4 linked regions of the Nothobranchius furzeri genome follow. The protein of the gene in region 4 purifies or fractionates together with the protein of the main gene of each other region. This does not show direct contact. Links are inferred from orthologs where the notes say so. Each region holds a gene or a part of one and is shown on either strand. Other genes may lie near its edges. The genes, in order: toporsa, nploc4, klhdc3 and ubxn7.

What was found.
Region 1: the proteins of ubxn7 (region 4) and toporsa purify together in Homo sapiens (affinity purification with mass spectrometry; 4 studies listed by BioGRID and IntAct, with this or other methods). This does not show direct contact. The link is inferred for Nothobranchius furzeri from reciprocal best matches to the Homo sapiens genes UBXN7 and TOPORS.
Region 2: the proteins of ubxn7 (region 4) and nploc4 purify together in Homo sapiens (affinity purification with mass spectrometry; 3 studies listed by BioGRID and IntAct, with this or other methods). This does not show direct contact. The link is inferred for Nothobranchius furzeri from reciprocal best matches to the Homo sapiens genes UBXN7 and NPLOC4.
Region 3: the proteins of ubxn7 (region 4) and klhdc3 purify together in Homo sapiens (affinity purification with mass spectrometry; 3 studies listed by BioGRID and IntAct, with this or other methods). This does not show direct contact. The link is inferred for Nothobranchius furzeri from reciprocal best matches to the Homo sapiens genes UBXN7 and KLHDC3.

What each region holds. Positions count from the first base shown.
Region 1 is NC_091746.1:80,960,550-80,968,841, reverse strand, and holds toporsa (topoisomerase I binding, arginine/serine-rich a), read left to right. Parts: upstream 1-3,493; 5' UTR 3,494-3,632; intron 3,633-4,575; 5' UTR 4,576-4,578; coding exon 4,579-6,924; 3' UTR 6,925-7,389; downstream 7,390-8,292. Other genes in the region: ndufb6 (NADH dehydrogenase [ubiquinone] 1 beta subcomplex subunit 6), read left to right, coding at 2,317-2,409, 2,617-2,661, 2,804-2,869. UniProt on the Homo sapiens protein: Functions as an E3 ubiquitin-protein ligase and as an E3 SUMO1-protein ligase. Probable tumor suppressor involved in cell growth, cell proliferation and apoptosis that regulates p53/TP53 stability through ubiquitin-dependent degradation.
Region 2 is NC_091756.1:53,432,085-53,440,301, reverse strand, and holds the start of nploc4 (nuclear protein localization protein 4 homolog), read left to right. Parts: upstream 1-3,066; 5' UTR 3,067-3,201; coding exon 3,202-3,216; intron 3,217-3,780; coding exon 3,781-3,861; intron 3,862-5,554; coding exon 5,555-5,664; intron 5,665-8,217. Other genes in the region: gastrula zinc finger protein XlCGF57.1, read right to left, coding at 32-149. UniProt on the Homo sapiens protein: The ternary complex containing UFD1, VCP and NPLOC4 binds ubiquitinated proteins and is necessary for the export of misfolded proteins from the ER to the cytoplasm, where they are degraded by the proteasome.
Region 3 is NC_091752.1:2,826,991-2,835,102, reverse strand, and holds the start of klhdc3 (kelch domain-containing protein 3), read right to left. Parts: upstream 4,202-8,112; 5' UTR 4,089-4,201; intron 2,179-4,088; 5' UTR 2,090-2,178; coding exon 1,936-2,089; intron 1,081-1,935; coding exon 904-1,080; intron 737-903; coding exon 621-736; intron 1-620. UniProt on the Homo sapiens protein: Substrate-recognition component of a Cul2-RING (CRL2) E3 ubiquitin-protein ligase complex of the DesCEND (destruction via C-end degrons) pathway, which recognizes a C-degron located at the extreme C terminus of target proteins, leading to their ubiquitination and degradation.
Region 4 is NC_091751.1:53,569,973-53,578,148, reverse strand, and holds the start of ubxn7 (UBX domain-containing protein 7), read left to right. Parts: upstream 1-2,561; coding exon 2,562-2,631; intron 2,632-5,419; coding exon 5,420-5,542; intron 5,543-8,176. Other genes in the region: ppp1r7 (protein phosphatase 1 regulatory subunit 7), read left to right, coding at 351-527. UniProt on the Homo sapiens protein: Ubiquitin-binding adapter that links a subset of NEDD8-associated cullin ring ligases (CRLs) to the segregase VCP/p97, to regulate turnover of their ubiquitination substrates.

The sequences.
Region 1 (8,292 bases), on a different chromosome or scaffold from region 4:
GGATCACACTCCTCAGCCTCCCTGGAAAGGTCTACTCCAAGGTACTGGAGTGGAGGTTCCGATCGATAGTTGAATCTCAGATAGAGGAGGAGGAATGTGGTTTTCGTCCTGGCCGTGGAACTGTGGACCAGCTCTATACCCTTGCAAGGGTGATGGAGGGGGCATGGGAGTTTGCCCAACCAATCCACATGTGCTTTGTGGATTTGGAGAAGGCTTATGACCGTGTCCCCAGGGGCTTTCTGTGGGGGACGCTCCAGGAGTATGGGGTGGGTGGCCTTTAGTTAAGGGCCATTCAGTCCCTTTACCAGAGGAGCGTGAGTTCTGTCCGCATAGCCGGTAGTAAGTCGGACCTGTTCCCAGTGAGGGTTGGACTCCGCCAGGGCTGCCCTTTGTCACCGGTTCTGTTCATTACCTTTATGGACAGAATTTCTAGGCGCAGCCGTGGTGTGGAGTGTGTCGAGTTTGGTGGCAGGAGAATCTCGTCTCTGCTTTTTGCAGATGATGTGGTCCTCCTAGCTTCATCCAGCTCTGACCTTCAGCTCTTGCTGGGAAGGTTCGCGGCCGAGTGTGAAGCGGCTGGGATGAGGATCAGCACCTCCAAATCTGAGACCATGGTTCTCGACCAGAAAAGGGTGGCTTGCCAACTCCGGGTCGGGAGAGAGGTCCTACCTCAAGTGGAGGAGTTTAAGTATCTCGGGGTCTTGTTCACGAGTGAGGGTAGGAGGGATCAGGAGATCGACAGGCGGATTAGTTCGGCGTCTGCAGTGATGCGGATGCTGAGCCGATCTGTCGTGGGGAAGAGGGAGCTGAGCCAGAAAGCCAGGCTCTCGATCTACCGGTCGATCTACGTCCCAATCCTCACCTATGGTCATGAGCTTTGGGTAATGACCGAAAGAACGAGATCGCGGATACAAGCGGCCGAAATGAGTTTCCTCCGTAGGGTGGCCGGGCTCAGCCTTAGAGATAGGGCGAGGAGCTCGGACATTTGGGAGGGACTCGGAGTAGAACCGCTGCTCCTCCGGATCGAAAGGAGCCAGTTGAGGTGGTTTGGGCATCTGGTCAGGATGCCTCCTGGACGCCTCCCTGGGGAGGTGTTTTGGGCATGTCCTGCCAGCAGGAGGCCTCCAGGTCGACCCAGGACACTTTGGAGAGGTTACATCTCCAATCTGGTCCGGGAACGCCTTGGGGTCCTGCCAGAGGAGCTGGTGGACAAGGCCGGGAAGAGGACGGTCTGGAGCTCCCTAGTTGGGATGCAGCCCCCGCGACCCGGACCCGGATAAGCGGAGGAAGACGACGACGAAGATAGCTCCTTTTGAATTTAGTTTTTGGATTCACAACATTTTGAAAGTACTATGTTTGTAAATTTACCAAATAAAGTTCTTTTTTTTTTAATTAATGCAAATCAACGGGGCTAAGAGTAATTGTATAATCCGCTTTGCCTTATGCCCTAAGTCGCACATATGTTGTACTTCAATTTAAATGAACATTAGTGATGGGTGTTTTTGACCACGCCAGTCACGCACTTTGAGATTTACCAGCTTGTAAAAGTTCATAATTAGCATCACTACAAATCAGACATCAGTACTTCGCATTTATGACATCACCACAGAATCTCCTCTCCCCTAGCGGAGCTGTTATTTACCACATAGCCAGATTTATGGTGGTTTTTTCCTCCTGAAGCAAGGATTTGAAGTTTGTTGAACTTACAGCCATTTTCCCTGTTTTTCTCCGTGTCTGGTTCAATGTCGTCACTTTCGTAATGCACATTTTTAGTCCTGGACTTATTTTCACAAAAAACCTAAAATAACGTTTCCCTCACGTTAGAAAATAAGCTCTTTATTGGCGTCAAAGCGCGTCTTTAAAAATCACTGACATCATATGTGAAATCAATGACTCATAACAAACAGAATTAGAAAATTGCATTTTCAGCCCCTTTGACTTGTATTCCTATTTTTATTCTTCTGGGGACCCGTGGTCCAGAGGGAGATGGGCATGACTTTAGCTCCCTGTAATGCTCTAATTGTATGGCACCCCATTCCTGCCATTCTGATAAAACCAAAAATAAAACACCTTTATTTCTTAATTATGAGATAAAAAGTAATTTTTTTAATTAGTGGCGGGAATAGGCTTCTGTCAACTGGCGCGTGAATTAAGAGAAGACTGGTTAAATAACTCCAGTTTGCTTAAAACTTTAAATGTTATTAATTAAATATTGAATTTAATCTAAAAGTGGATGGAAAATCCGATCTGTGATGAGAACATTTTTTTAGTTTCAGTTAAACATGCTTCTATAACTTTTTGTTTGTTTTCTTGCAGACCTACAAAGCATACAAAGGTGGAGTTTTCACAATCACACGTCTGCTCCTGCCTGGCTGGATTGTTCACTACTATGTGAAATATCACGTTGCTGTAAGTTTCCCCAAAAGTTTTGCAGTGTTTGTAGCACGTTTCTCCACCTGGTTTTCACTCATCCATTAAGCAGGATAGGACTAGACTTTTTCCTGTGTCTTCAGTTGTTTCTTGGCTATAATCAGACAGTCTCACTCAGTTTATGGATTCAAGTTTAATTTGTGTGATCAGTAGGATTACTAGCTAAAAGGTACATTTTCTCCACAGACAAAACCATATGGGATTGTGGAGACGAAACCCAAGCTTTTACCTGTGAGTATAGCATATATACTAGTTCTGAATAATACACGTGTGTTATTTTAATTAGCTGTTTTCTGTTTATGTGGTACAATCATTGTCTACCACTGACGTCATTGACTTGCTGTCTGAGATGTTTAATTGACCTTTCTTACAGGGTGACACCATTCTGGAGACTGGCGAAGTGTTACCTGATCTCCCAGAGATCCATGGCCATCACTAAATAAAAAAAAATGTGATTAATTTTTTTGTTTTTCTGTTGTAAAAACTGTATATTACAATAAAATATTACAAAATTCTTCATGTCTGACTGTAATGAGTGTGGTGTTGGGTTTTAACTGGAAGAATTTCATCATTTATTCCAGGACTTTGTGCTCATGATAAGATTTAGTTTTGTGTAGCTTTTCTTTTTAATAGGTTTTTAAATTATTATGTTGCATGAACATTTTAACATGATTGGTGTTTATGAGGCGGTCATAAATCAGTTTATGAGGTGTCGCAATTAGCACCGTTACCTCGCAGAGAGACACTCGCAGGTCGAAACTGCTGCTGCACCTTTTCTGCGCAGTTAGTACTCACCCCCCTCCTCGTGTGTGTGAACCTGAAAAGTTGTTTAATTGTAATCATGTTTTTTACTGATCGTGATTGAATTGGATTAATTTGCATCTTAGGTTTTATAGTCTTTAAACGGTCTCAATTCCATTCATGCTAGATCAAATCACACTGTTAGTTATTGTAGTCTTACAGACATCCTCAAAGCCTGGTTTTAGTGGAACTTTTTCACTTGAGTTATAAATAAAACCGGAAGTGTCTAAAGAAGTGCTCTTATTTTGAAGAGCGGAAGTGTTCGAACGTTGAAATTATGAAACCGGTGGAAAGGAGGTGAAACGCTAGCTGACAGATGTTTACTAAAAAGTGGATTTATTCATGAAGGAAACTCCTAATTCGTTGCCAGTGGTGTGTATGTGTGTTTGTCAAAGTCGCAGGTAAATATCTTACAACTCATTAACGGACTCCTTGCCGTCGTGTCATAACTTTAACGGCACCGTGCTAGCTAACGTAGCCACCTTGTGCTAGCTTCAACCAAAAACCCAGCTATAATCTACAGTTAGCTTTGTTCTGCGAATAAGAATATTTTTATGACTATTTGTTGAGGTTGTTTATGTTTTCAAACTAATCCAACATTAAATTTTCATCAAATCAAAACGGGATCGTAACAACGTCAGCATTCACTAAAACACACAACAAATGTGCCGAAAGACATATTTAATACGTTTTCTTGCGTTTCTATTATCTTGCCAAATATAAGAGCCATGTCTTTTTAGGTTGTCTTTCTGATTGTCCCGTTTAGTTAGTTTTGACTTATTTGAAAGACAACCAAAAGTTACAGCTCCTTAAAAGACAAAATATGGGCTGTGACGGTGATAAATGTCCTCTAGAGTAGAAATCTGTTCAGGTTAACGAGAATTGTTTGTGTTCATTTTCATATTTTCATAATGGGGCAGAAACGTAACTTTTAAATGCATCGCACTTTTCGCAGAAAAAAATCACGAAGTGCTTCACAGTAAAAATAGAAAATACGAGGAAATAAACAAGCAACAATTATAAATAAAATAAGGCAAAGCAAGTTTAAAAAGCCAAGTCTTTAAAAGTTTCATAGTTTATTTTAATCAACAACTTTTTCCATTGTTTATTACTAAGATCTATGTAAATCTGTAATAACACCAGCCCTGTGAACTTAGTGAATAAATGATTCAAACATAAAATAAATTCCATAATTTAATCATAGATGGAAAGCGGTTTATATATTTTTGCTGTTCTAGTTACTGCGTTTTATTCAATCAGCCTGCTTAGGTTGGCTTTATTGGTGTTTAAAGTAAGAGCTTGTATTTTGAAGATCACTCCAGCTTTTTCTTCTCTCCACATTAGATCATGTCTGCAGTCCAGATTGCCCTGCAACACAACCAGAACAGTGCCAGAGGTAAAAACTCTAAAGCGATGTCTGGAGAGGCATCGCCAGACTCCAAGTGCCCCATTTGCTTGGACAGATTCAACAACATTTCCCACTTGGACCGCTGCCTGCACAAGTTCTGTTTTCGCTGTATCTTGGAGTGGTCCAAAAACAAGGCCGAATGTCCGCTCTGCAAACAGCCGTTTAGGTCAATCTATCACAGCGTGAAGTCAGATCAAGACTTTCAGAGGTATGAAATCAAACAGCAGGTGGAGAATGCCTCTTTTGGCTATTTTGAGGGAGTGCGGTTCAGATACCGAACAACTTTCACTGGAGTTCGAGCAACGAGACGAACCTCTCCTCCTCCAGACAACGGAGTCATGTTCGAAGCCGCGACACGCCCGACCCTGGAGCAGCACCGAGATCATTACATTCGACGCATGATGACGAGGTTGGAAGCCAAGAGGCGAGCTGCGAGGGAAGGCAGGGCGGTGAACAGTGTCAGAGAGCAAGAGATGATAAACTTCAGGAGGGAACTGTACCGACGGGGTGTGAGGGTTCAGAGCGTGAAAGATGGCGGTCGGTCCCGAAACACCTCTGCTGAGTTTTATCGAAGAAATCCAGCCTGCCTGCACAGACTGGTCCCCTGGCTGAAGAGAGAACTGATGGTTTTGTACGGGGCCCATGGCTCTTTGGTCAATATAGTTCAGCACATCATCATGTCACGCATTACGCGTTATGATATGGAGGATGGAGCGATCCAGGGAGAGCTCAGACCATTCCTGCAAGGTCGAACCGAGCACTTTCTACACGAGTTCCTCAGCTTTGCAAAATCCCCCTTCAATATGGAGGCCTATGACCAACATGCAGTCTATGACTGCCCCGCCCCCTCCGGAAACGAAGGCAGCAGCTCCAACTCATCTGTGATTGCTATCTCGGAGGATGAGGATACCTTTGCAGAAGTGGATCCCCCAGGGGAACCTACTTCTCTTAGCCACTCTCTGTGGGACGACGAGACGCCTGGACCGTCATATTCCACTTCAGCCGAGCAGAGAGAAGCAACAGCGATGACACCTTTGAACTTGGACTCAGATATTAGTTCAGAGGAGGAGATGCAAGAGTTTGAGGCTTCTCCACACCGGCAGAGCTCACATAACCCAGCTGGCGTGCCTCAGAGTAACCGCAACGAGGAAGACCGTGTGTCTTCTGACAGCGAGGACTGTGTCATCATAGGGTTTGTCAAACCGACAGCAGAGAGGACTCCTGAGCTGGTTCACCTCTCCTCTGACTCGAACGAGTCTGAGATTGAGGATACTGAAGAGGCACCTCTCCCGCCCCATCACATCCGTTTCACCAGTTGTAGCCCTGCAGCTTCACACAGAAGCGGCTCTGTCAAGGTGGGACAAAGCCCAGAAACAGATCGCCATCGTCAGTTGGATTCAAAAGAAAGATCTTTAACCTCCAGAACGCACAAAACATCCAAAAAGCCAAACAGTAACGAGAAAAACAGGAGATACGACAGCAAAGATAGAGTGAAAGATCGGCATAAACCAAAGGACCGAGAGTACCGGAGGAAAAGGAGAAATTCAAAAAGTAGAGAGCGCAGGCTCTCAAGCAGAAGTCCAGAGAACTCCAACAGCAGCCTCAGTTCTCAGTCTGCTGAAACCGATTCTTCATACTCCCGTGGCAGAGACTTCTCCAAGTCTGGCCCAGTTTATAGAAGAAAGGACGGGGACCACAGCTACCAGTCGTACAGCCATTACAGACGAGATAAGAACGGTAGCGTGACGCGTTACACTCACAGACAGTCCTACTATTACAGTAGCAACAAGTATTCTCACTCTCGCTCCAGAAGCCGTAGTAGAGATTCACAGAGACGGCACAGGAGGTGGTCCCAATCCAGAAGTTGCTCCAGCTCCCCTTCAACAAAACGGAAGTCCCATCACAACAAACCAGGTGGGAAACGAAAATACAAAACCAGGCATTTGGAGGATTCATCCAAAGACCTACTCCAAGACGCGCGTGCTGACGGTGACCCAGAGTTCTCAACAAAGCACAAGAAAAAGAGCAAAGAAAGGCGTCATAAAACATCCAGAAGGAGCAGCTGCAGCGTGGAAGACACCAAGAACAGAGAAGAACGCGACCGAAGCAAGCATCACCATAAGAAGAAGAAGAAACACAAGAAAACCAAAAGGCACAAGCATGAAGCGCCAAAATCCAAGAGCTCACTGGCTGTTATCACTATCGATAGCGACTCTGATTCCGTCTGTACTTTTGCTAAAAGCATCCTCACTGATGAGCAAGCTAACCCCCGAGCTGAGGACTGATCCTCACCGGGTTTGACATTAGCTGCCAAAGCTTGACAACAATAATCCTAAATATTTTTTGTTGATGTTCATCAGCCCACGACTAAATGGACTTATAATGAAAGGTCCAGTTATACTCTTATCATTTCACTGTATTTATGTACCAACAAGCCCTCAGTGCCTCAGTTTGCTTTTGTTGTTTAAGATGACAACGTTGTTTTATGGTAAACATGTTCCTGCCATCAAGGTTGGGACAAATCATCACATTTAATCTGGTTATCCTTAGTAGAAATTAATTTTTATATAAAATTCTGAGATTTTTTCAGGGGAAAATGTTTCTTCTTATTGCAATAAGTCAGCAACATTTTATTGGCAGCTACTTCTACCTGCCTCTTGATGTAATTATATTTTACTGATGCTATTTAGATTTTAAAATGGGCTTTTGTGGATTTCATTTAATGTAAGAATAAATATATATTGATTTAACATGTTCTCAGTTTAGCTGGTTGTTCTTCCAAATATTGACTGATGTTTGTTTTATTTATTTTTGAATTTTCTAATGTTATGGGGGATTGGGAATCAAGCTTTGAGGTGGACAGTTTTAGATTCATGCGTTACTGCTCTGTAACAAAAAATTGTGATGTTATGCAAAAGAGGAGGGGAGAGAGAGAGAGAGAGAGAGAGAGAGAGAGAGAGAGAGAGAGAGAGAGAGAGAGAGAGAGAGAGAGAGAGAGAGAGAGAGAGAGAGAGAGAGAGAGAGAGAGAGAGAGAGAGAGAGAGAGAGAGAGAGAGAGAGAGAGAGAGAGAGAGAGAGAGAGAGAGAGAGAGAGAGAGAGAGAGAGAGAGAGAGAGAGAGAGAGAGAGAGAGAGAGAGAGAGAGAGAGAGAGAGAGAGAGAGAGAGAGAGAGAGAGAGAGAGAGAGAGAGAGAGAGAGAGAGAGAGAGAGAGAGAGAGAGAGAGAGAGAGAGAGAGAGAGAGAGGTGGGTTGGAGTTCCTCAGGGGTAAAAAGGTTGGGAACCACTGCTAAAAAATGCATGGAATACTTCATGTGACATTATTCTCCCCCAAACAGTAGGGGGCAGTCTACCAACGATTTTTTAAAAAGGTGCTAGAATTCCACACTAATGAAGATTTTAATCATTTACTTCTACTAGAATAATATCTTATTTAAAGCCATAACCAAGGAAACAAACGTGTGACCTCAGAGACAGAAAATCTTCAAACAAATTCAGCCAGAGGTTCTGGAAGTTAAATTACTTTATTCTTTAGACAAGTTACTTGTTAATTTCTAGGAGTACATTGCACAGAAAAGCTGCCCAACAAAACCTAAACATGTTTGACCAACAATAAATAAATGTAAAAAAAAAGTTTTCTGGTTGGGAGCACAGA
Region 2 (8,217 bases), on a different chromosome or scaffold from region 4:
AAAGACTCATTAAATCTGTGATTTTACCCACCAGATGTTTGCTTTATAAGAACATCCTTCTGCTGAGGAGCAACGACAGAATTAATGTCTTGTTTCTTCTCTAGAAGTTGACTTTCAGAGGTGTTGCGTTGAAGATCTACTTCTTTCATGATGTTGGACACTAAAACAATCTGCGTCGTTAAATACGATCTGTGCCTAAATCCATCACTGCCGATCACCCCACACCGTGAATATTTATAGCAGGTTGTTTGTTTTGAAAACTGGAAAAAGTGCAACTGCTTGTCCTTTTTTAAAATTCATTTTAACAACTAGACCGTGTGTACGTGGCTCTGTTACATTTTGATCAGGCATCTGCTCAGACGCACACTTGGATTGCCTTTGTGGTGACTCACTGCTGCCATCTACTGGAGACAACCCATCAGTAGGGTCTTTGTCAAGACTGAACTGGAAACGGGTAAAACAAGAAGCACAACATCAGTCTTTCAGACCCTTACAAAGTCTGAGGAACTAACAACCCATACTTCTGGCTCCTGCGGAGGAAAACATTTTTATTTTAATTGAATTGTTTTGATTATTATTATTAAAATACTACCACACATACAGAGAACATACCCTCAATCCCACATGCACAAATAAAATTAAAAACACAGCTATTTGAAATCAATGTTAAATGTTTTAATTTTGTTTATGCTGTGCATGTACTTACTTCAGAATGTCAGTAAATATTCTAACATAGAGAATTTTAAGGACTGTTGCTTTTTTTAAAACTCTCTAATATGTTGATTAAACAAAGATAACACTTTAACTCATTTGAAAATGATGGTAATGAGGTTTTCCATAAAATCAAACTTTATTTGATTTGGCTGTTTATGAGATCAGTTCTCCAACTTTCCTGCTACAGAGCAGGCAACTAGAACTGGAGGCCTCAACACCTGGCTTTATTTGCATAGCATCTTTCAAGGTAAAAACCACAAAGCACTTCACATATAAAAAAATAAAAAATATATAACATAGTCAGGTACAAGAAAAAAAGCTTGTCATCAAAGTAAACCACATAGGTTACATAGTGCATGCAAGCACATTTCTGCTGAATATTGTCATCTTTGATCACTCAGAATAAAGGGGGATCACCTTAAAATTTAAATGTCATTTAAAGGAGCCAGATTGTGCTATTTTATGCCTTTGAGAGCAAAGGTAAGCTCAATATATGATCAAATATTATTGAGATGTAATTTATCTTAAATATGAGGGGGGTTTTTTTTTGTTCGCCTGAATATATACCCGGAACTGAAACGGTCTGTTTCAGTGAAGCTCCGCCTATGCTCGCTCTGACAAAATGGACCTAGAGTCTTCTGTTGACTTAGTAGTCCAGCGATTAAAGTGACCAGGCAGGTACTCTAGCCACTGGACTACAAGGATGTTACATAGCATTGGTTGCCTAAGACACATAGCCTGTGCTGGCCATTACGCGCATCTTTGTGGACAGGACCAAGACCATGAAACCAGACGGGAGATTTGGGAAATGACAGTGAACAGCACAGAGTATAGAGAAGAACATGGCGGAGAAAATGCTGTAACAATAAAGACTCAAGGGTTAAAGCTGCTCAGGGTGAGAGTCTGTGATGTTCCTCAGAGTCATCTCTCTCTCTGTGTCACAACTGTTGCTCATAAGCAGGTTCACCAGTAACTGGACAGGTTGGTGCTAAAGAACCTTCTATAACAAGCCAAACTCTTTTAAAACCAGTTGAAATCATTTAATTTAAGCCTTGATGATTTATTCTGAGAAAAGTGAGAACTTTAAGATTCGATCTGACTTTTATCAGTGCACGTCCTCAGAGCACGATAACAAGCCACCACTGCAAGTGTTTCAACCACGCCTGTCACGTTCTTTGAGATTTATCAGTTTGTAAAAAAAAATTGTAATTACTTTGACTACAAATCAGATGTTGGCACTTTGCATATATGTCACCCCAAATCTCAGCGTACCATATGGCAAGATTTATGGTTGTTCTTTCTGCAAGAAGGATTTGAAGCTTGCTAAACTTACAGGCATTTTTCCTCTGCTCTAGTTTGTGTCTGGTTCGATTAAGTCAATTTAGTGATGCACATTAGTTCTACATGTGTTTTCATACAAAACATAAAACAATGCTGGGTGTGTATAAGCAAATGCTCCCCAATGTAAAACACCCAAGAGTGCTATCACCAGATATAACAATATTATCAACTGTGTATGATTAGTCTTTGTTAGAATCTTCTGGTGCTGATGATCCGTAACTGCAACAACCATGAAACTCACGAGACAGTAGTAAGATAGTGATTGCGGTAACCAATTTTGACCACAGTATTTCATCTTACTATCTTCTTCCATAAATGGTTCAAATGCTTAACACCTTAGATTAGAAGATCACCTCTTTTTGACTGCGCTGTTTCTAATAAGTTTTGATTTGCTAATATGGAGTGGCTGAGTCTAAATATTCCTAACCTTCAGAATTTATTTGTTAACATGTTCTGTTGTTACTGACTTGCAAGTTAATATTTCGGATATGATGAATATGATTTTCCATCTGGGAAAATACCACATTCATTGCTGTAAATGGAGAGACATTGTACTGTGTTTCAACGTTTTTAACCAGTTTTTACTGTGTACTATGGGTTAATTACTAATTGCCCAATCAGTGTTTCTGTATCTTTTTGTTAAAATATTTTGGTGCTCATTTTCCTACACGTATGCATTTCACATAACCTTTCTGATAAGTCCTGTCTGTTTTAAGTTTTACTGTTTTACCACCCAAACTATTTGTTGCATGCTGCAAAATGTTATTACGTGCAACTTGAAATGATGTGCGTTTTTGATTGCTGTCCTCCTTCTTACTTTCCGCTCTCTTTCACAGTTTCCAATTGAATCCAAATACAATTAAATTCACTGCCTGTGAATGACTAAACTAAACAGAAAATATTTAGAATAAAAATCACTGGACAGATTGAATTAATGGTTGTCGAAAAAAAGACACAAATTGGAACCCATGTTTTCAGGCTCACTTGTTTCAGCCGGGGTGAACTGTCGGACACTATAGTGTGCTACACCGGTGTTAGAGTTCTGTGATGGAGTTTCGCTGACAGTCAGCCAGTAACGCTTCGTGACTTTTGTAGTTTTTGTCTATCAGCACAAGGACGTACACCAGTGACTTTCAGTTAGGCGACATGGCGGATAATATAGTAAGTATAATAGTTTGTGGTGTTAATGGTGCTAACGGCAGCTAGCCGGAGTCCTGCGGGATGAGGCAGCAGAATTAGCTTTGTTAGCTAACGTTAGCACAGAGTGACTGCGGCCTGTGCAGATAACTGGCCGAGCTTAGCTCCTTCTTACGATATCCTGATTAAAACAGGTCTGCTGTAAACCTTAAAGCCTTTTGAGCCTAGATGTTTCAATAATAAATTAAATGAGTGAATAAGTATTTTATCGTCTGCTCATTATATGAGTGTTATTGTAATTTTAGAGATACATAATCAGTTGGCTGTATACAAACCAACAAAAAGTATCAGATAAGTTTAATCTCCGTGTTATAGATTTAAAATACTTTCTAATAAACTCAGTCGTATAACCAAGCTTTAACGCTACCTTTTTCATTGTCCTTGTCATCTGAGAGGGACAAAAGTTGGAGAAATGTAAATGTTTTGATTCACTGATTTTCATTCCGAAACTCTGGGACATCCTGGTTTTATGATTAGCTGAAACTCAGACAAAAGTTTAACTTAAGCCTTATTTATTTATTTTTTTAGATAGTCAGGATTCAGTCCCCAGATGGGATGAAGAAAATTGCTTCCACCAAGAGAGAAACGGCAGCTGCCTTTCTAAAGAAGGTAAACAAGTTAACATACACATAATTTTCATTGGTGTTTACGTGTGTAGTGTTTTGTTGTTAGTGGCAAAATGGAAACAAACTAGATTTTAATCACAATTGTCTTTATACAGTATAAATAAGTGGATAAATATTTGGTAACCGATTTTCAATTGGCTAACTTTTTTTTTACTGGATAAAATGTTCTTGCTAAATGACATAATCTGACCAAATCACTGTTTTTGCAAACACATAATGTCAGTAAGTCCCATGACATTGGTTGGTAAATGGTAAATGGCCTGATATTTGATATAGGGCTTTCTAGAGTCCTGGAACCCCCCAAGATGCTTTACAAAAAAATTAGTCATTCACCCATTCACACACACATTCACACTTACATTGTAGCCACAGCTGCCCTGGGGCACACTGACAGAGGCAAATCTGCCATACAGATGCCACCGGTCCCTCCGAACACCACCAACAGGCAAGGTTGGTTGAGTGATTGCCCAAGGACACAACAACAGCGTCAGACTGAGCAGGGCTCGAATCTACAACCTATGCTTATTCATTTCATTTGGATTCAGTGGATATAAGATTTTGCAGCACAAAAACACAAGTCAAAATGAATAAACAAGCATGCTACGCTTTTTTAAACAATCACTTAGTAATTATTGCTGGCAAACATTTGGAATTTTACCAAACACGTGAGTTACAGGCAAGCCTGTAATCTCACACACACACACACACACACACACACACACACACACACACACACACACACACACACACACACACACACACACAAACACAGACTAAGATAAATTGACTAAAGATATGCAGAGAGTACCAGAGCAGGTCTGTCCTGCACAGCTCCTGTGAGCTTTCATGGCTTCCGGGTATTGACAAAAGGCTTGTGGGGAAATTTCCATTCAGGGAATCCAGTTGATGCTAGACAGGGCAGGTTTAATTTGGGGTTTAATTTACTAGTGCTGACATTTCACACAGTTTAAGACCGATTGACATATTTGGTAACTACCACAACTTGGCCTTTAATTTTCTTCTGGTTTTATTTAGTTATCTGATTGACTTAAGCACCCACAATAATAAGAGTTTAATTAAAAGCGTTGGCTTTGAAAGCCTGAAATAGATCAGAATTCCAGCAGCGTTGCAGCACTATCTAATTAAAAATGCATGCTACTGTGTTGCCGCAGGAGAGTGTAGTTTTCAGATCAATGGGAGGAGCAGATCTTTGTCCCTGATCAGTGGAAAAGAAAAACACAAGTGTGTGTGTGTTGGGAGGGGGGGGGGGGGGCTTATATGGTTTGGGCACTGAAGGTTAGCTGTTGAAAGAGATGATGAATGGGATTTATTTAAACATAGTGGCGTCAACAGCCTCTTGTGATTTTTGTCCATCCTGATCTCAAAGATTTATTTTATTTATTTATTTTTTTACAATATGCTAGTTAAGATGTTATCCAGATAGATTTCCTAAATGATGGGATGTTATTAGGATGCAGGACCTCCAACCTGCTCAGTGTACTCATCAGTTGTTGCAAACCAGCTGGACACCTCAAAAACTTTTGATTAATCTGCTTTGAGTGATCTGTAGCAATCACAAGCAGCCTTCACTCAGCAGGTGTCTAGAACAGACTATTAAATACATTAACCAACTTTAAGGTTTTACAACGGTATGTGATCATTTATGTCTCCTACAGGTGGCCAAAGAGTTTGGATTCAGTTCCAATGGGTTCTCTGTTTATCTAAACCGCAACAAGACCGGAGAGATTGTGTCTCAGAACAAAACCCTCAGTCTGCTAAAGATCAAGTGAGTTAAACTGGAAATCATAAGGGTTTGAATTTCAGCATTCAGTTGTGCCACATCTGTGGAAAACAACACATTTTTACATGGAAAGTAAATTCATAAATGCACGTTTTACTAAAAACATTGCAGTTTTTATTTTAAACGACAACACCCTGATTTCAAAAGTGATTTCCTACAACCATATACTAACCATTTAGGCGCCAGAGTTTTTTCAGGAAGCTGTTCAATTTTGACATGACTTTTTCAAAAGGTTGTAGCTCGGAAATGGTTAGAGATAAAGGTAAACTGTAAATGAGAGACATTTTCAGTAGGACCAAAATTCACTCTTCTAATTTGCATAATATGACGTCATCGGGCTGCCGTATTGGAATGCATCATTTTTACAGATGTTCCTTCTTATTTTTTCATGGTATTTAGAAAATGTCATATTTTGAATTTTTCAATTTATATATACATATATGAATTTCTTTGAAATTTAAATTTCATTGTTTATCTTTTATATATATATATATATATATATATATATATATATATATATATATATAACGTCAAACCCAACGTTTGGAATTTGTAAGTGTAGCACTAGCTGTTCAGCAGCGTCAATCTTTGCGGCTGGATGAGTGAATTTCTTCATCAGAGTCGATATTCTGCTTCATAATCGGACTCAGTCATGACCAGACAAAGATATCAGTCAACAAAGACCAGACTTGCCGGAAATCACAAGTTTTATCCCTCTAACATTCACCCTCTTTGTGCACTCGTCTTCTCCCCAACCGGTAACCTCTTAGCGGGAGGCAGTTTTCAAACCCTATAAACTCTGAAACTTTCAGTATAAACACACTCATAAATATAGCTCAGCCTGAAGTTGCATATCTCCACTATCTTCTGGTGTAAGTAATAATTTCATGAGGGATTGTATTTGTAGCTGTGGATCGTTAAAGTCAGTAATGACACTTGTCGCAGTATTGCAACTTTGGCGCTTAAAGGTGTAGGAGAAACTGGTTTGTCTCAGCCATATTTGTAGCGTTATGGTTTTAGGCTCTTTTATGAAAGAGGAACCATGCTACGTATTAATTCGGATTATTAATTTTAATAAATCAATAACCAAATTTTATATTGTTATGAAGACTCAAAGGTTGTTTTCATCGATAAACTGACGATAATATCTGTGTGTCTGTGTTTCAGTTCAATGAGGAAACCAGTTTGACAATTAAAAGTTTTAATTCTTCAAATTAAACTAATGATTTTGAAATTGACAAACAGGAAATAACAATCAACATTGGCAACTTGTGGGACAATCTTTAACAGTTGATATGATCAAATAGACCTTGTGGTGAATTTATGAAGATTGAGAATGTTGTGATATGAATGCGTGTGTGAGTCTGATTTTGCTTCAGGAAGAACAGGTGTCTGAGTGAAGTGATGGTTTGGATAAACTTAGGTCTTATCAGAGAACTGCATCAAACGCTAAACACCGTGCTCTGTCTCACCGAACTCTTGTGGACCCTCTTTCGGATCCGGGCCGTGGAGGATGGTGGTGGTTCATCCAGATGACACCAGCGGCTGACAGGGGAGACGTAGGTGTCGAACGGAACCGGTCCAGAGTTGCCCTCGGTACATGTTGATGGTAAAGCGTTTTGTCGATGCGTTTTCTTAAGTTAATTCACTCAGAAATCAAAGACACTGTATGAGTCTGCGTTAGAAGTTGCGATTCAGCTGTCCTGTCTGGTTAACAGGAACAGCGTGAGGGGGGGGGGGGAGAAACGAGCCAACCGGCTCCCCCCTTTTAGCGTTTATTCAGGTCCTCTCTCTTTCGTTGTCAAGCACGAACTGAAATCAAGACTGAAACTTACCAAAAACCTTTCTCTTCTCAAAGCAAATGTGTGCGTCAGCAAATGTGTTTGGAGTTTACTGTGAGAATCTGTGTGTGGGTGTGTGTGAGTGTTTGTGTGCTTGAGTGTGTGTGAAGGTCAGTAACAAACATCCTCAAACATTATTTAAGTATGGATTCATTAATCCATTATAATTACCCAAAGCATAAGAACCATTCATTTGATTAAAACACAGTTATAATGAGCAAATTGATGATTACTTTAACATTAAAATCAAGAAACCAAGTTTTAAGACTTGTTATGTTATGACTACTTTTATGGGAACAACATCTTCTGTGGGAACAACATCTTCTGGCACGAAGCTGCAGGTGGCAGATGTTATGGTTTCCTCCCAGACTCGCTGGCGTTCAGGTCTTAATCTGTGGATGAAAGTTCTCAACGACCCAGCTTTGACCCAGCTGAGTCCAACACCACCTTTGTGACAGAAAACCCACACTTCCTCACGTTACAAAGGTTTAACTAATAAAAATTATAAACAGCTTACCTGGAAATGAGACGGTCTGTTTCAGCAAAGCTCTGCCCATGTTCGCTCTGACAAACCGCACCTAGGCCAGCCTGCTGTTGTATTGGCCTTGGTAGTCTAGTGTTTACAGCATCTGTCTTTCATCTTGTCGCCTAACACGCATTCTGTGCAGGGGTCTCATTTATCAAACATTACGTAGAA
Region 3 (8,112 bases), on a different chromosome or scaffold from region 4:
TCTTGCTCGCGTAAGCTGCTGCTTGGCCCTTCCCACGAGACGCGAAGCAGCAGGGGAGCAGCTGTCACCGACCGAGCACGAAGTCACACGAGTGACTTCGTCAGTAAACACAACAACAAGCAGGAGAAAACTACAACATGGTTTGTGTTTTATGTTCTGTCCGTTTTATAATCGCCAATACGGACCTGAAAAACAAAGGAGACCGCTAGCTAGGTGATAACTTCTCACGGGGCCGCACAGTTAGCAACCTTTTTTAAAAGTAAAGCAACCGGAAGGCAGTACGTTCTTTATTCTGAAAATCTCGGGAGCTTCTCTCCATTTCCGCGTCCGATTTCCTGTCTTTCCTTCCCCAAAAATGTCGAACTTGACCCGTTTCAGAGGCGTCGCGCGTAGAAAATAGAACCGGCGCGTAAAGGCCGCGACATGCTGCTCCTGAGACGCGGCCGACTCGCACTGCTGACGGCTGCCGACGGCTCCAGTGGAAAAGGTTCTGTTGACCACAGCGGTTCCTATCAGCAGCTATGACGTGCTGCTGCAGTAACGTGCTGCTGACGACTCCCGTGGAAAGCCGGGGTAATGCTGCAAGGCAGGCCCAACACTGAAGAGTGATAAAGACTTACCAGCTGTTCATACCCTCCAAATATATACATCGTCTTCCCCAGGACACAGGCGGAGTGGCCATCTCTTGCCCCAGGAACTGCCCCTGAAATCTTGGGCGTGTACCATCTGTGGGTATCTACAAAGCACACACGAGACAAAACCATCACACCCATGCAGACGTTCTAGCTCTCAAACTTAAAAACCAGGTTTAGCTAACACGATCTCCACATCAAACAGCACCTGAGAGGAAGCCCAGCCTGAAACCATCCTTTGACAGCATGAGTGAGACGGGGCTCTACTTACTAACATCAAAGGCATAGAGTACATTGCAGGCCCCCTCTGTGTCGTTACGCCCACCCCAGAGGAAGATGGTATCATCCAACAGCACAGCCGTGTGGCCGTAACGCATGTACGGTACTTCGCGGGCACGTTCGTGTCCTCCTGTCCTCACTGGAGGCAGCTTTGTCCAACGCAACGACACTGAAATACACAACAATCAGAAGTTTGCCACTGCCGCAAGCTTCTTTAGAGGGGATCATCACAACATGTCTAATAAAAATATGAAATGAATGAAAAATTAAAATGGATGTTGGAAAAAATATTTTTACTCGTCTGTAAAAACCTGTGGGAAAAAATGACTTTCATCCCAGATCTCAGGAATAAAAACTAACACAATCCCTGCTGTAAAATCTACATCAAAGAGAAGGAGAACAGTGTGAAGTAGAGAGAAACAATAGTTATGGTGCCGTTTCCTTTACAATCAGCTGAGGGGCTGGTTCCACTGAACTTTCTTCTTCTTAAGAAACTGTAACAGCAGGCAGGATCAAGCTGCCTGAGAAACGGTAAAACACCAAAGAGAGCAGCTGGCTGGCCACACACGGGCAAAAAAAACGAGTGTAAACGGGTTACGAGAAGAAAGAAATGAGCGGTTTTGTAAGGATCAGGGTGGAATGTTTACAGAAAAACACCTGGTTGTCACTTAGCTACTGAAAGACGTCTAACAGGAACTATTTCAGAAACCACATTGGGACGTTTGGAGTTGAACTGCACGTTTCTGCTGTGATGAAGTGGTACAGCTCTGTATGAACTTCCAGTCTCTCAGATTTTAAACTATTTTATCAAAAAAACCAAACAGATTTTTAGAAATTAAAGCTGTGGTTTCTTAAAAACCAAACAGCAGTCTTGAGACTCATGTTTTGATATAAAGTTTTTTTTTAATGGGCTTTTGACACAATTACATAATAAAAATGACATTAGGTGCACAAACTCAGTTGATTTTACCAGTGTGTGCACCTGTTTGGTAATTTGATTGATCGTGTTGTTTTTTTTTTTTACCTGTGTTGAAAACATGCACATCAATTTGACGCAGTGTCTCGTAGTCCTCCCCGGAGCAGTAGCCTCCGAAGGAGTAGACCTTGTGTCCCACCGCCACAGCAGCATGGTTGACTCTCCGCGGCCCTCCTTCTAGGTGCACCGACCAGCGCAACATTCCACGCGCGAGCACCTCTGCGTCCCCGAGTCCTTACACCATCACTTGCTGACCCACTTGGACCCCATCAAAGCTCGTACCATTGAAGCCTGTGATCGAAACAACAGGAGGTGGAGCAAGAAGAGCAAAATGTCACACAGCCAAGAAAAGACCAAAGAGTAACAAACTGTTCTCTTGGCTCGTTCGGCTCTGCTGTTGCTGACGGGCTCGCGAGCCCCAGTGTCTAAGCTGGGAGGGTATTTTAAGAGGTGACTAGACCCACACCTACAAGTTCTTGTTCTCTCTCTTCACTCCTCTTTCAGCACCCTCCCACTGGCCACAAAAGTTGTTTTAGGAACATAAAAGCGCAAATCCAACCCCTAAGAGGAGCATTACAAATGAATGTGTGATGTCCAAGTCAACTCACATAAGCTGAATATTCATTTGACCTTCAACAACTCCAGGTTGAGGAATGGGAACCTATTCCACAGCTGTGGAGCCACGTTGATGTGGATGCGTATGGATCTTCCACACGCTTTTAAGGTCCCTGACAGTATAAAACAAATTTGGTGTAAAATTAGACAATGTGTCTTGTTTTTTGTTGTTATTATTAAGGGAAAATGCAATCATCCAATCCAGAACAAGACTGAATACCAACAGGAGAACATTGCAGGGCATTTGAACACATTTTTAAAGGTGTACCCCACACTTTTTGCTGAAGAGCTCACGCCGCAGAAATCCAATATTTACAAGTTGTTCCTCGTACTAAAGGTGACTAACCTGGATTTCCGGTGATTGCCAAGAAGCACTGTTGCAACAAATAAAATCAACCCAACAACTTGTCTGTGCTTCGCTTAGCACAGACAGAAGCTCAAACAATCCTTTGCTTATCTTGGCAGTTAATTTTGCACGGTTATACAGCTGTGTAATATTAACTGCCTGGAGAGTTATTTGCAAAGTAAAACACCAAAAAAAGGGCATTTCTTAAAAATAGACGCAAGAGATTCAAATTTATTACCAGATGGATATTCCTAATCTGAAGAATAATGTTGACCAAAACAAGATGTGGTATTCAACCTATGTTTGATTCAAAAGAACCTTTTGAAATAAACCTTCATCCTGACGTACGCTGTGCTTGTTTATTTATTCCTTCAGGACTCAGTTACTCACTGACCTTCAACCTTTTGTTTCTCTTAAAAATACCCCCCCCCCTCCCCCCAGCGGCTACTATTAAACTTAGATTCATTCTATTTTAATCCCAGATATTTCCGAGGAGCAACAGAAGCCAGAACAACCTAACCCATGAGAAATATTCGGCTTAATCCACTTTGTTAGGTTTGAGTTGTGTTGCAAACTTTCAAACCTTTAAAGCAAACCAGACGTTTCTGTCACATAAAACACAACAGCACATTCTGTTAACATTAACATGTTAAAGTGCTCAGTTTAGATCCAGAGATAAGAACAGCCTCTACTATGCTGACCTACTGAACAGGTTATTGATAATGTCAGGTATGCTAGCAACCATGACAGTGACATCTAAGAAAACCAGAAACCACAATGGTTCTATAACAAACAAACAAAAAGGCAAATGTAGCACTTATACTGTCAGTTCAAATATGCAAAAGAAGGACACATAATAGCTGATGTACCCAGAGCTGAAGACATAAGAGCTGTAACAGTGAAGACCAGATAACACATCGGCTAACTGGCTAACGTCATCTGTCAGGGGTGGCAGAGAAACGTCATCAAACCGCGAACGTGGCTTGTCTATCAATATAAATTTCGTTATTACAAAATCAGCTGCAGTCTAGCAATCTGGGAGCTCGGTAACCACCCAGCCGTCTGACAGCTAACGCTGAAGGAGAAACTGTTGCTAGCTGAGCTAAAGCTAATAGCTGTTAGCATAAACTGTATGGAAACAACCGGCGACTCTTAGAAGAGCCCCGCTTATTTCGACCCATGTCGAAAACAACAAACGGCTCAATCAAAATGAAGTGTTGTAGATACATAATTTAACTACCTTTAGGTTGAAACGCCAGTGGTTAACTGGTGTTTAGGCAGCAGAAGTATCCAGTGTGGAGATGTCAGAGGGCGAGAGCCGCCGTCAGCGCCCCCTGGCGGATGTTTCCATCTATTTATGTCTTAAAGGGACAGTACAGATTATTTTGAGTCGAAAATAGAGAAAATAAAAGCATTCAGAGTCATTAGACTCAAGTAGAAGTATAGCTACTAAAGTCTAAAGAGACTTCTGTAGAAGTAGAACAATCAAATAAAGCATCTGACTGAAAGTACAAATGGGCTGGTGTTTCAATTGTATTAAAGTATTACAGTAAAATGTTTATGTACAAAAGCTTAAGCCGTCCCACAACCTGTAAACTAACCTGTTTAACTTACCTGGGGTCCATGAATCCCCCCAAGAAGGTCCCCATAAGATTGCAGGGAGACCCCACAATTCTGTCTTTTCTAAGATTGTGAATTTTACCAAGATAATATCTGTAAAATTCAAATAAAACAGAATATTTTGAATCAAAATGAGTAATTATAATGCAATTAGAGTAACAACATGAGTACTTCAGCACGTTAAGGAAGTATTTCTATTTTGTTACTTGGCACTTTTGTATATATCTTATTTTAGAACTTTAGTTTGGTGAAAAAGAAATCAGTGCTGATCAGAAAGATGAGCTAGTGGCCAGTCTGAACCAGTCAAAATGTGTTTTTGTCATTTTAAAAGACAATTTTGTTCATATTTTTAATAAACTGCAGGAATGAATGTTTTGCAAGTTGATTTCTGGGAAGAAAAAAGCTTTGGTATGCTTGTTTGAGGACGTAGTAGTCAAAAGAAAGAAAGTAGCTTCAGACGGCAGGAGTCTTATTTCCTGATATTTGGACATCTTGACTTGGATCGGCTAACAAGAACACAACTCTATCACTGACTCTGTTTACTTTGCTACACTGATGTTATAGCTCCTCAAACAGTACAAGCCTGAAGGAGATTTGCCAGTTAGCTACTAGCCGAGATGTTCTCTGCTCTTTCCTGGATGGTAAACCAACAACAACCTTTCCTGTTGTGAATCAAGATGGGTGAACCATGATTTTTAAGTGACAGCAAAACATAGATCTGTCAGGCTTTTCTGAACTGAGTGTGTTTTCATCGGTTTTCTAACAGAAGCTAATGTAGGTAATAAGGGTAGAAGGCTAATTTCTCATTCAGCCTGCACGTTAAACTCAGAGTGACTGATCATTTCCAAAGATGATACGTTAAAAATGGGTTCTCAGTGAACCTGCTCTTTGAAACAAATGCAATCTTAAAAATTTCATAGCATTTCATGTTAACGCTATTAATAAAGCATTGCATTTATTTATGTAAAATGTTTTCTTTAACATAGAATTGTGTGTTTGCAGCACAAATAGGTTAGAAATTCCAGCTTTCTTTTTCTGGCAGGAATTTCATGATCTTTAGCATCATGACACACACACACACACACACACACACACACACACACACACACACACACACACACACACACAGAATAAGAAACTAGTTTTTCTCTCTTTCAAAATACGGAACTGAAAGTGTTCTAAGATCTGCAACAAGATTAAAACCAAAACATGTTATTAAGAATTAGCCTGTTGAAGCAGCTAATGTTTGAGTAGTTTCAGATTTGTTTTTGCACGTCCAACAGAACACGGCAGTGACTCAGCTTACTGTAATTCGTCTACCATGACTGACGGACAGTTCAGTAACCGACTGGTTCAACCAGACCATCTGGGTTCTCTTGCAGTAACCTTTTCCAACCCTCACTGGCAGCCACTACGCTGATATCAAACTATCATTTTCTATCAGAACAATAAAGGGATAAATAATAATTGTATGGTGTCTAGTACTTGACCCAAAAGGGGAGTCAATAAGTGAGTTTAGGATTAAACTAAATTGTATGTAATGGGGTTGATATAATAAAAGTTTCATGACTTCAGTTTCAAATTAATTCCATGTTTTACATAAAAACATCCAGGTCGGGGGAGAGGTCCTACCTCAAGTGGAGGAGTTTAAGTATCTCGGGGTCTTGTTCACGAGTGAGGGTAGGAGGGATCGGGAGATCGACAGGCGGATTGGTTCGGCGTCTGCAGTGATGCGGACGCTGAGCCGATCTGTCGTGGGGAAGAGGGAGCTGAGCCAGAAAGCCAGGCTCTCGATTTACCGGTCGATCTACGTCCCAATCCTCACCTATGGTCATGAGCTTTGGGTAATGACCGAAAGAACGAGATCGCGGATACAAGCGGCCGAAATGAGTTTCCTCCGTAGGGTGGCCGGGCTCAGCCTTAGAGATAGGGTGAGGAGCTCGGACATTCGGGAGGGACTCGGAGTAGAACCGCTGCTCCTCCGGATCGAAAGGAGCCAGTTGAGGTGGTTTGGGCATCTGGTCAGGATGCCTCCTGGACGCCTCCCCGGGGAGGTGTTTCGGGCATGTCCTGCCGGCAGGAGGCCCCCGGGTCGACCCAGGACACGTTGGAGAGGTTACATCTCCAATCTGGTCCGGGAACGCCTTGGGGTCCTGCCGGAGGAGCTGGTGGACAAGGCCGGGGAGAGGACGGCCTGGAGCTCCCTAATTGGGATGCTGCCCCCGCGACCCGGACCCGGATAAGCGGAGGAAGACGAAGACGAAGACGACAAAAACAAGGTCATTTCTCATGGTCCTGTTAAATTGTAATTGTACAAAACCTCTAAACTGAGGAAACATTTTTTTGTTGAAAATGCTGAAACAAAATCACTTCTGATCAATTAATTAGATATTAATTAATCAATTAGTTAGACAACAATTATTTAATTAATTAATTGAGTGTCTTGAGGGGCTATAAGAAGACACTGTACAAATTAAATTAGCTTTAATTTTTTCAGTGACAATCTGTGAAACTGCTGATTCAGATAAATGAAATGCTGCAGAACTGTAGCTATTAGGAAGGGAAATCTTCTGGTTCATCAGCCCCACCAAGAAATCTTCTCACCAGACTAGAGTTGCACCTGCATCCTGTTTCTCTTTAATCCCTCCTGTAGCAGATCCTCTCAGTTTAACTTAGTTATTTAAGTAAAATGTGTAACTAGTGGATTTCCACACATCATTCCACAATCCACATTAATGTAGTTCACGTGCAGCTGTGGGGCCACATGTCTTCATTTGAACACATTTCAGCTAAATTCCATAAAATGGTACAACTCTGCCACCTGGTGTTAAAACTGGGAACTGTTGCTTTTCTGATTCACTTCTGAAAAAAAACTTTCAACTTTGATTCTGCTGCTGCTTTTGAGATAAAAACTCAAACTGTGTTTAAACACAGTAGAGTTCTGTCTGAACTTAAGTGCAGGATTAAAATGTTTTGTTTTTCTTTAAACTCTGTCTCTGAGGAGCTGGAGCAACCTGGAAACCTCTAGAACTATTGGGTCTACTCACGTGGGAGTGTCTTCTCAGACCCCCGGTTAGCCGTGGCAGACGGCTTCAGTTTTTTGGAATAATGACCAGGGGCCTCATTTATCAAGCTAGCTTACACACAAAACGGGGTCGGAAAACTGCGTAAGCAACTTTCCATGCCAACTTTGGGATTTATGAAAGAGGACTTAGCGGAAAAATGTGCGCAACTTTAAGTTGACTAGGACCTGGCTTACACACATGCTGGACATGGAGAGCACCTGCAGTGCTGCTGCTGAGAAGATACAATTATGAAATCCTGCAGCATTATCACTTGTTCTGCTTCGTTTTCACACAGAACAAGACCCCCCATGGGCACATACACGCGTGCGCGCGCGCGCACACACACACACACACACACACACACACACACACACATACACACACACACAGTCTGAAGCGCAGAATACGAATGCAGAATATCAGCATGGGGGCAGATTGAGACAGAATGTCATGCGTCTGTGACAGTGTGTGTCCTGTCAGTGTGACCTGATTGATCATGCGCCCTGGCTACTTGTACAGGGGAGATCTCCATTTGGGTGACTGGTTAGCACGTGTGACTGTCACCTGGGAGTCTGGGGA
Region 4 (8,176 bases):
TTCTTCACGGGCCGTGATGCGCTTGGATGAAAACATCTACCTCTTTAGCTGATGACAGCTTCAACACACCGCGCTGCTTAACGCACGCGTTACTGCTGGTCGTTGGGTAGCCACAGGCTCTGAGGTCAGTGTTTATTTCTCCTCCCACCTTTGAGGCTGGAGGGTGCAGACGTAGCGCAGGCAGCGTGAAGATTCACTGAATGTCAGCGCACTTGAAACTGGAAAACCATAAATCACGCATCTGCCTAAACGCCTCTGAAGAAGGAGTTTAAAAATGTTTTTGTGTGTGTGTGTGTTGATTCAGTTGGTGCTGATGGCTGTGTGTTTGTTTTTTTTAAATCCCCCCTCAGATGAATGATAATCAGATAGACAACTGGTCAGATCTGGACGAGCTGAAGAACGCCAAGTCTCTGGAGACGGTCTACCTAGAAAGAAACCCGCTACAGAAAGACCCTCAGTACCGGAGAAAGATCATGTTGGCTTTGCCCAGCGTGCGCCAGATCGACGCTACTTTTATCCGCTTCTGAAGCGCAGCGTACGACCCATCCGCCCACCTTTTTGTGTTTCGCCTCGCCTCCTTCCCTCCCTCCCTGCCTGCCCTGCTTACAAAAACAGCTCCTGATAACACTTTGGCCTCTCCATGTCATCCTCTCACCGTGTACACATTCCAACACTCACCCCATTCTTCACTCTCCATACATGAATGCATGTATGCAGTCATTCAAACCTTCATTTATGCTGTTGTGTTGATGCTTTTATTTATTATGGTTGGAACTGTGAAAGTGAAAGTCTACCATATGCTCACATCTGCTTATTTTTCTCCTTTCTGCACTTGTTTTTGTTATTGTTCTGCATGTTGGATACAATTAGGGTTCCCATCAGGGTAAAAGAAACAAGCCTTTTTTGTTGAACAAATTCTTAAAGTTGTTCCAGTGTCATAAAAATTATGTAAGGGTTTGATGCTGCTCTTGTGAGTCACAATAAGAACAATTAAAGATTAATGCTGAAGGGAAAATGTAAAAGGGAAAAAGTAGAATCTAAATTTGTTTGACTCCTGGATTCTACTATATTTCTCAGAAATGCCCTGGCCCCAGTTCTTCACAAAGAACACCTTAATGGAAAATAAAAATCAACTCTATGCTGATTTACAGTAACTTAGAAGAGTGCTACCTGCAGAATGACCAGTTTTTAGCATAAAGGTTTCTTACTAATGTGTCATAAAATAAATGGATGTCAATTAACATGTTTTTTTTGTTGTTGTCCAGCTGCTTCCTTTCCTTAAAACCTGATAGCTGATGACTCATTTCTGTTGTAGGTAAACCCCTTTTGAGAATGTGTCCAAAAACATGGATAATCAGTGATTTTACTATTTTATCTTTAACTCCTTCCTGATTACAGTCGTCGCTTATTATCAACAAACTTAAAACCTGGTCTATACTAAATTAGAATTTGTAGTCTTGGCTGGACTTCCTCAAAAGATTTTTTGTTTTATTGTAAGATAAACTCTCTGTTTGGCATACAATTTGAACATGTTTCAGCTTTAACAATGTAGGATTGCTTACAAATATCAAGTTTAAATTAGTTTTTTTTTACCCTATTAGATTGCTTAAATCAACCTGAGACTACCTGCAACAAATTTTACGACCTGTTACCCCCTCAGGGATGAGATCACCTAGATGTATACGACAGATTCAGCAGATTCCACTGCACCAGTGTTCATCTGTGTAATTAGTCTGATTTAATATTTGATCTCACTCAGTTGGTGATGAAATTACATGAAATGTTGGTTTGTATCAGAAAACCATAAGCTCTTTCCAGTGTAAGAATTATTACCTGTTATGTACCATGAACCATCAACCCAATAAATAGAAGCATACATTACTGACATGAATGTAATTTTATATCCAGTGTATTGAAATTGGTCAAACAATTATTTATGTAAATACAGATTAGAATCTCACAATGTAGAAAACCCATATACCATCATCACCTGCCCCTGTAAAGTGATATTTTACTGTTTTGTTTATGGCTGGCAGCACAATGGATTCGTGTAAAATACTGAAAATAACCCCCCCCACACATACACACCAAAAAAGCTGGTTGGTCACTAAAGGAACTTTTATGAAAATTGCTTTCAGCTCCTTGTTGAACTGAGTCCATGTTTTGGACTCAGTTGATGCTGTTTTCAAACTGAATGTATTATGCAAATATTAAAGTGACACTACTTATGAATCAAGTCTGCAGAGTTTCATTTAATACACCTAATGCGACCACATTTGGAAGTTTGATTTTCCTCTTCTTCAAGCTGTAAACAAATCACATTATGCGTTATTTCATTTAAATTTGCGTTTATACTACTTAATTTATTAATTTTAAATATTATCTTTGTCTCTGATAACATTTCATAGCTTTTCTAATCCTACATCATGTGCAAATAATGAATTGGCGTATATTTGATTTTAAAATACATTACCCACAATCCATCGTTCCGTCGCGCCAGACGTTTGGAAAAGACGGCGTTGCGCATGCGTCACGTCTATGTTGTTGTTTCTGGCGGTAAGATGGCGGCGCTCGGAGACACCTCAGCTCCGGGGGTGAACGGGTTAATTCAACAATTCACAGCAATAACAGGTAAATATAATATTTTATTTAGCTTTCTAAATATTAAGTTGGTTTGTGTGCTCATAGAGGACCGCCCATTTTGCCACAAAACACGTAATGAGGGCGCAGGTAAAGAAAACGGGAGCACAGTCCTGCTCTTACGCTGTCAGTGCTTTGCAGAAGGGAAAAGCAGAGGTATCTTTTTTCTAAACTCTGACCAAACGCTCGGAATATGGCGCATAAATTCATAAGGCACACATATTGTCTTCAACCCAAACTCAATTCATTTTTATTGTCCTCGTGATGATAATTCCAAACACAATTTCGTTAGTATTTCATGTATTTTTGTTATTTTTTTCACACTGCTTGCTTTCTGGCTGTGTGGAACGGACGTCGTACAACATTCCCCTTCTTCATCAGCAGCCTCATGTTGGGTTACTGTCCCTCCGCTGTCACTTTGACACCAGCCTCTCCCGGATAGATAGTAGTTACCGTGTCAAATGTTGGTACGGAGGCACTAAATAGTTTATGAGCACTTTGATGCGATGGACGGTGTTTAAATTTAAAGTTATTTATCAGAATAGAGGAGAGTGGACTCAGCTCAGGGGATAGCAGACTTGGAAAGTGAAACGGTCATGCGCAGTAAAGGCGGAACGATCGTTCTTCCGAGGATATAAATCCTTTTAAAACGATGTAAACTTAACTTGTTTTACGTTTTTTTAAATATATATTTATATTTTCACAGAAATTAAAAACATTAGATTTAATGGCGGCTGAGGGTTATTCTAAGGTGTTCTATGTTTTAACCAATCCAATCGATGCTCGATCGAAAATTGACTGAGGCACAAATGAATACAAAAAATAAAAATAAAAAGGATATTTACTTTATGAAAACTATTTGTTGCTTATTGAGCTTTAATTTGTCTTTTAATAAACATTCAGCATATCTACGATTTTTAACCAGTCCTGTCGTTATCGAGTATGATGCATAAATGCATACTGGTTGTAAATATTATTTCTAATTAGATTATTTTTCGAGTATTTTCAGTAATAAAACACGTTTAACATATTTTTTTACAATAAATATCTATATGAGAATTACATAATTTAAAAGCGCATTTCACAACACAATTGATTTAAAAAGGCAATTTAACATTAAAACAGAGAAGAAAAAATTAAACAAAGGACAGTCTACAAAAACAACCAGCGTAGTATAAAAAAATAAAATACTACTAATTCTAACTGGACTTTCAATTCTTAAAAAAAAACATTTGACATATTAGTGTAATAATTGAACAATGATTTAATATTATTAGATAAAATTATTTCACTTTTGGCAAATGGGGAATTATTTTTTGCACCTGTAAGTAAGTAAGTAAATGTAGTTGGTGTTTAACATAAAACATTATTTACTTTTATATCTCACAGGAGAATGAAATCTAAGAAAAATGAAAAAAATTCTAAAAAGTGTGTTTAGCTAATACACAGAACATGTCTAAATATGTAATTAGAACAGATTTACCATGGTGGTGGTAAACAAATGACACAAACATTTGCCCCTGAGCCATAAATAATAATGCTTTTTCCATCTACACCTTTTAATACAATTCAGATGCACAGCTGAAGTACCACAATCATTACATTTGTGAACAAAAAGTCCGTCAGACTCAGAACTTGTTCCGCAGCAAACAGTCTAGCATTACATACACAGCGCTGTTTACAATTGCTTGCCTATAAGCGCATTCTGGAGGCCACGGTTTAAAAAGAAAAACACTTTAGTTTTCTTACATTGAACTAAATAATTACACTGATTTCTTAATTTTACTGGACAAATTAGGAGTCAGACGTGAGCAGAAGTGTCATGGCCAACTGACCATTTGCTGGTCTCGGTTCAGTTTGCTGCGCCATGTTCTGCCAGGCTTTGATGTGAGGCTTATTGTGTTCCAAGAACAAAATAACTTACAATAAACTACTCCCACGCTTTGCTCTTTGCTAACCGCTTCATGTTTGAGCTCATTTGTTTGGTCATGTGACAAGCTCATTTCTTCTGCGGTTGCCCAGTAAACATACTTTGACAGCGGCGCTCTTGCGCCCTCTAATACATCCCTACTTTTTATAGTGAAATTAAAGACCGGGTTCACTGGAAAACGGTTTTTACTTGACCTATATGATCATTCACTCTTGAGTTTCACATGCAGGCTGAGCATGAGCCTTCTGCCTCATTTCCGGCATTAGCCTCCGTTAGAACAGAGACAGGGAAACAGTCAGCTCTGAAAAAGCTACTCAGATCTACATCATACTTTAAAATAAGCATTCATGGACTCACCCATCTGGGCTCGGTACCAAGGAAGGCTGATATGGATGTCTTGACTAGTAGAAGATATCCCTTAGCATTAGCAACTCCATAACATGGCAGAACTCCTTCAGGCTTGAGCTATTTGTGGAGATAAAACATCAACGTTGCATTTAACCCAAGAAAGAAAAGCAAACGAAAGCAGTGGAAGGGTGGCATTGTGTTAGCGAATCAGAGGAGAGATGTTCACATATGATAAATAACCTCCAAAATGCCCTACTCTACAGTTAGTGTGTTTACATGTGCATCAGAAGACCAAACTATTGCTCTAAATAGACAGACATTTTTTTAAAGTATGTAAATGTACTATGGGCTTGACACACAGGATGGGAGGCCATTTTGCCTCTCCAGTAATTTTTACTGAGCCATGCACGACAAAGCGATAATCACGGGTCTCCCTCCTGCTAAGCGACATGCGTGAAACGTACATGTGAAATTTTGCACTTAAGCATGTGTTGTGCACAGGTGAACCAGCGACGCAATCCCAGAAAGTTGAGGAAATTTCAACTTTTCGTCGCTGTCGCTCGGACAAGGACCAATCAGCGGAGGTTTCATTGACTGACCAGTGTGCGGACAGGATGCTTCTCGGTACATCCCCGGGCAAACATGGAGGAAAAGTTAATACTTGTCATGTCAGATTTCCCAGAGCTTTACAACTTTTCAGCAAAAGAGTACAGAGATCTTTACAAAAAAAGCGGCATCATTAAATGATGGTGTTCACTGTTTCTTTTTCTGTTGTAATATATGGGATGAACCCATTCACATATTTTTCTTTTTTAAACCAGAAGTAAGACTTCACTTAACTCTACCAAAACCTTGTGAGACCTTTCATCTACAGCTTTTTCAAATCTGAACTGCTTTAATAATTCAGCATTCCCTCCATTCTGATGGCCAATCAAAACAACGGAAGACTTGCTATTCGCCCTGGAATAGAGCACGTCGCTGGCTTTTGTCGCCTCCCGTGTGTCAGGTTATCAAAGCGATAGCTCTGAGATCATGGTCGTGCATCGAACCCATTGGTCTTGAGAAGGTGAACTGGTTCTAATCGAGCTGAGGCACCAAGATAATGTGGTTAAAACCCAACTTCATCTGCAGGTAAAGGGCTCAGTCACTCTGTAACGGTAACTTCCGGAAGTGACGAGAATGCAGAAGCGTTCTCCTGATAATATCGATGCCACAAAGTAACACACCGTCAAACAGTAGAGTACAATCCAAATAAGCTTTGCTGCAGCATTGTTGTTCATTCCTTCAGTCGTTATGCTTTTCCTGTTTTTACCCTGTCTGCTTCACTCCCACCAGCATGTGTTTACTATTTGTGTTGCTATAAGCTAACCGGAAGAATGCCGACATTTAAGGGAAGTCGGTTTTCTAACGTACGTGTAAACTAGGGTAGAAGCTCCCAGCTTATTATCGTAGATAAACCTAGATCGACTTAGACGTGCATGTAAACACACTGAGTGAATCATTCATTCATTCACATGCTGATGGTGATGAGCTACATCATAGCCACAGCTGCCCTGGGGCGCACGATCGACATATATACTGGACAATTCATTTCCATAGACTCCAATAACACATTTTTGTGCCAAAATGGGAGGTGGCCACCACCGCCATTTTGACCGTGTCACAGGTTCCGTCATGCCCAGACAATTCCACAAAAGGGAAGAGGGTGGGGCTGAGGGTGGGGCTGTAAGGCTGGGATCAACTGACGACACCCGGTCGAACTAGCTACAAGCTAACCTGAAGCTAACCCAAAGCTAATGAGGAGGTGGGAGCTAAGCTAATGGAGGTAGCAACCTAGCTACAACCGGAGTTAACTGTGTACAACACCAGAGCTTCTGAGTCAGAGATACGCCGGGCTGACTGCTGGGTAAAACCGGGTGGAACACAGAGGTCTCCCGAAAGCTGCTGAAAGCCGGCAGACCGCACAGCAGACAGAAGCCGCGATCAGACAGAGATGCGTCGAGCTGCGGGGAGAACCGGGTGGAAAACATCGGTCTCCCAAGAGCTCCACAAGCCGATAGTCGGAACCCAGCTCCACCAACATGTTATATTTCAACCCATTTTCTAAAGTGCAGCATTATGTTAAATGCACTGGGTTTACCCTATTACATTTAAATTTCATGGTTAAACAGTACATGTTAAAATCTAAGCTCAGCTCGGCAGTGACCTAAATACATAAATATAATTTTACTTACCGAAAAAAATGAAGTGGAGACTCCTTGGACGCTCTATTAGTGCAATTAATGCCACAGCAAGTCATTTTGTCCAACAATTGCACAAAAAATATCCAAAGCAGAATACACAGACACAGAGACTCAAAATCCCGGAACAGTTTCCAAGCCAGACCGAGGCTCTACTGAGGCCTTTCCACGGAGCTAGCTCTGTTGTCATGTGGGTCTGATGCTCATTAATTATACAGAATTTTAGGCTTTTACTACACTTAAACAGAAGAGTTAGAAAAAATTCACCCCCCTCAGAGTTGTCATGAGTGTAAACTAGATAATTTAAACCAAAAACTTGTTTTGGTACCAGGCTGTAAACATGTTTATTTCTGCTGTGAAATTGGCATTTTTAACATGGGAGTCAATGAGGATTTTCTCACTTCTGACACCAGCCCCCAGCAGATGAGGGTGGAACTGCAATTTTTGGTACTTCCGGGTTGGCCTCAATTTTTGAGCCGCATTGTGGGGGCTTGGGGCGCATTGACAGAAGAGAGCAGGCAAGGAGGGTTAAGTGTCTGTGTGTCTGGGTTCGAACCTGCAACCCACCGATTACAGGGCGCGCTCCTCACCCCTGAGCCACGTCACCCCACGATTTCCACTAATGTCACACAGATATGACTGCTAGATTTTCCAAATGTTGCCTCAAACAGAAGCAACCATACTGCTAATGGTTCCTTTTAAGCTAAGTATGACTGTCCAAATCAATGCATTTAATTAAGATTTATTTGTTAAAAATCTACAAAAGTTATATTTTACTTGTCTTTTCGTAAAAAGTTGCAGACTGGTTATTGAGATGTTTAAATGTCTGGCTTTGCAACCAAATCTATGGTGTTAATGTAAACATACGGGGTTGTGCTTCCCTGCAGTTTTTGTTTATGTTTAAATTTGGACATTTTACTTTGCACTGCTCTGGTGGCCGATTTGGAGTAATAATCTTTGAAGGGGTCTTAGCAACTCTGGCATTATGACGTCTGTGTTTCTTTTCTCATCCCTTTTC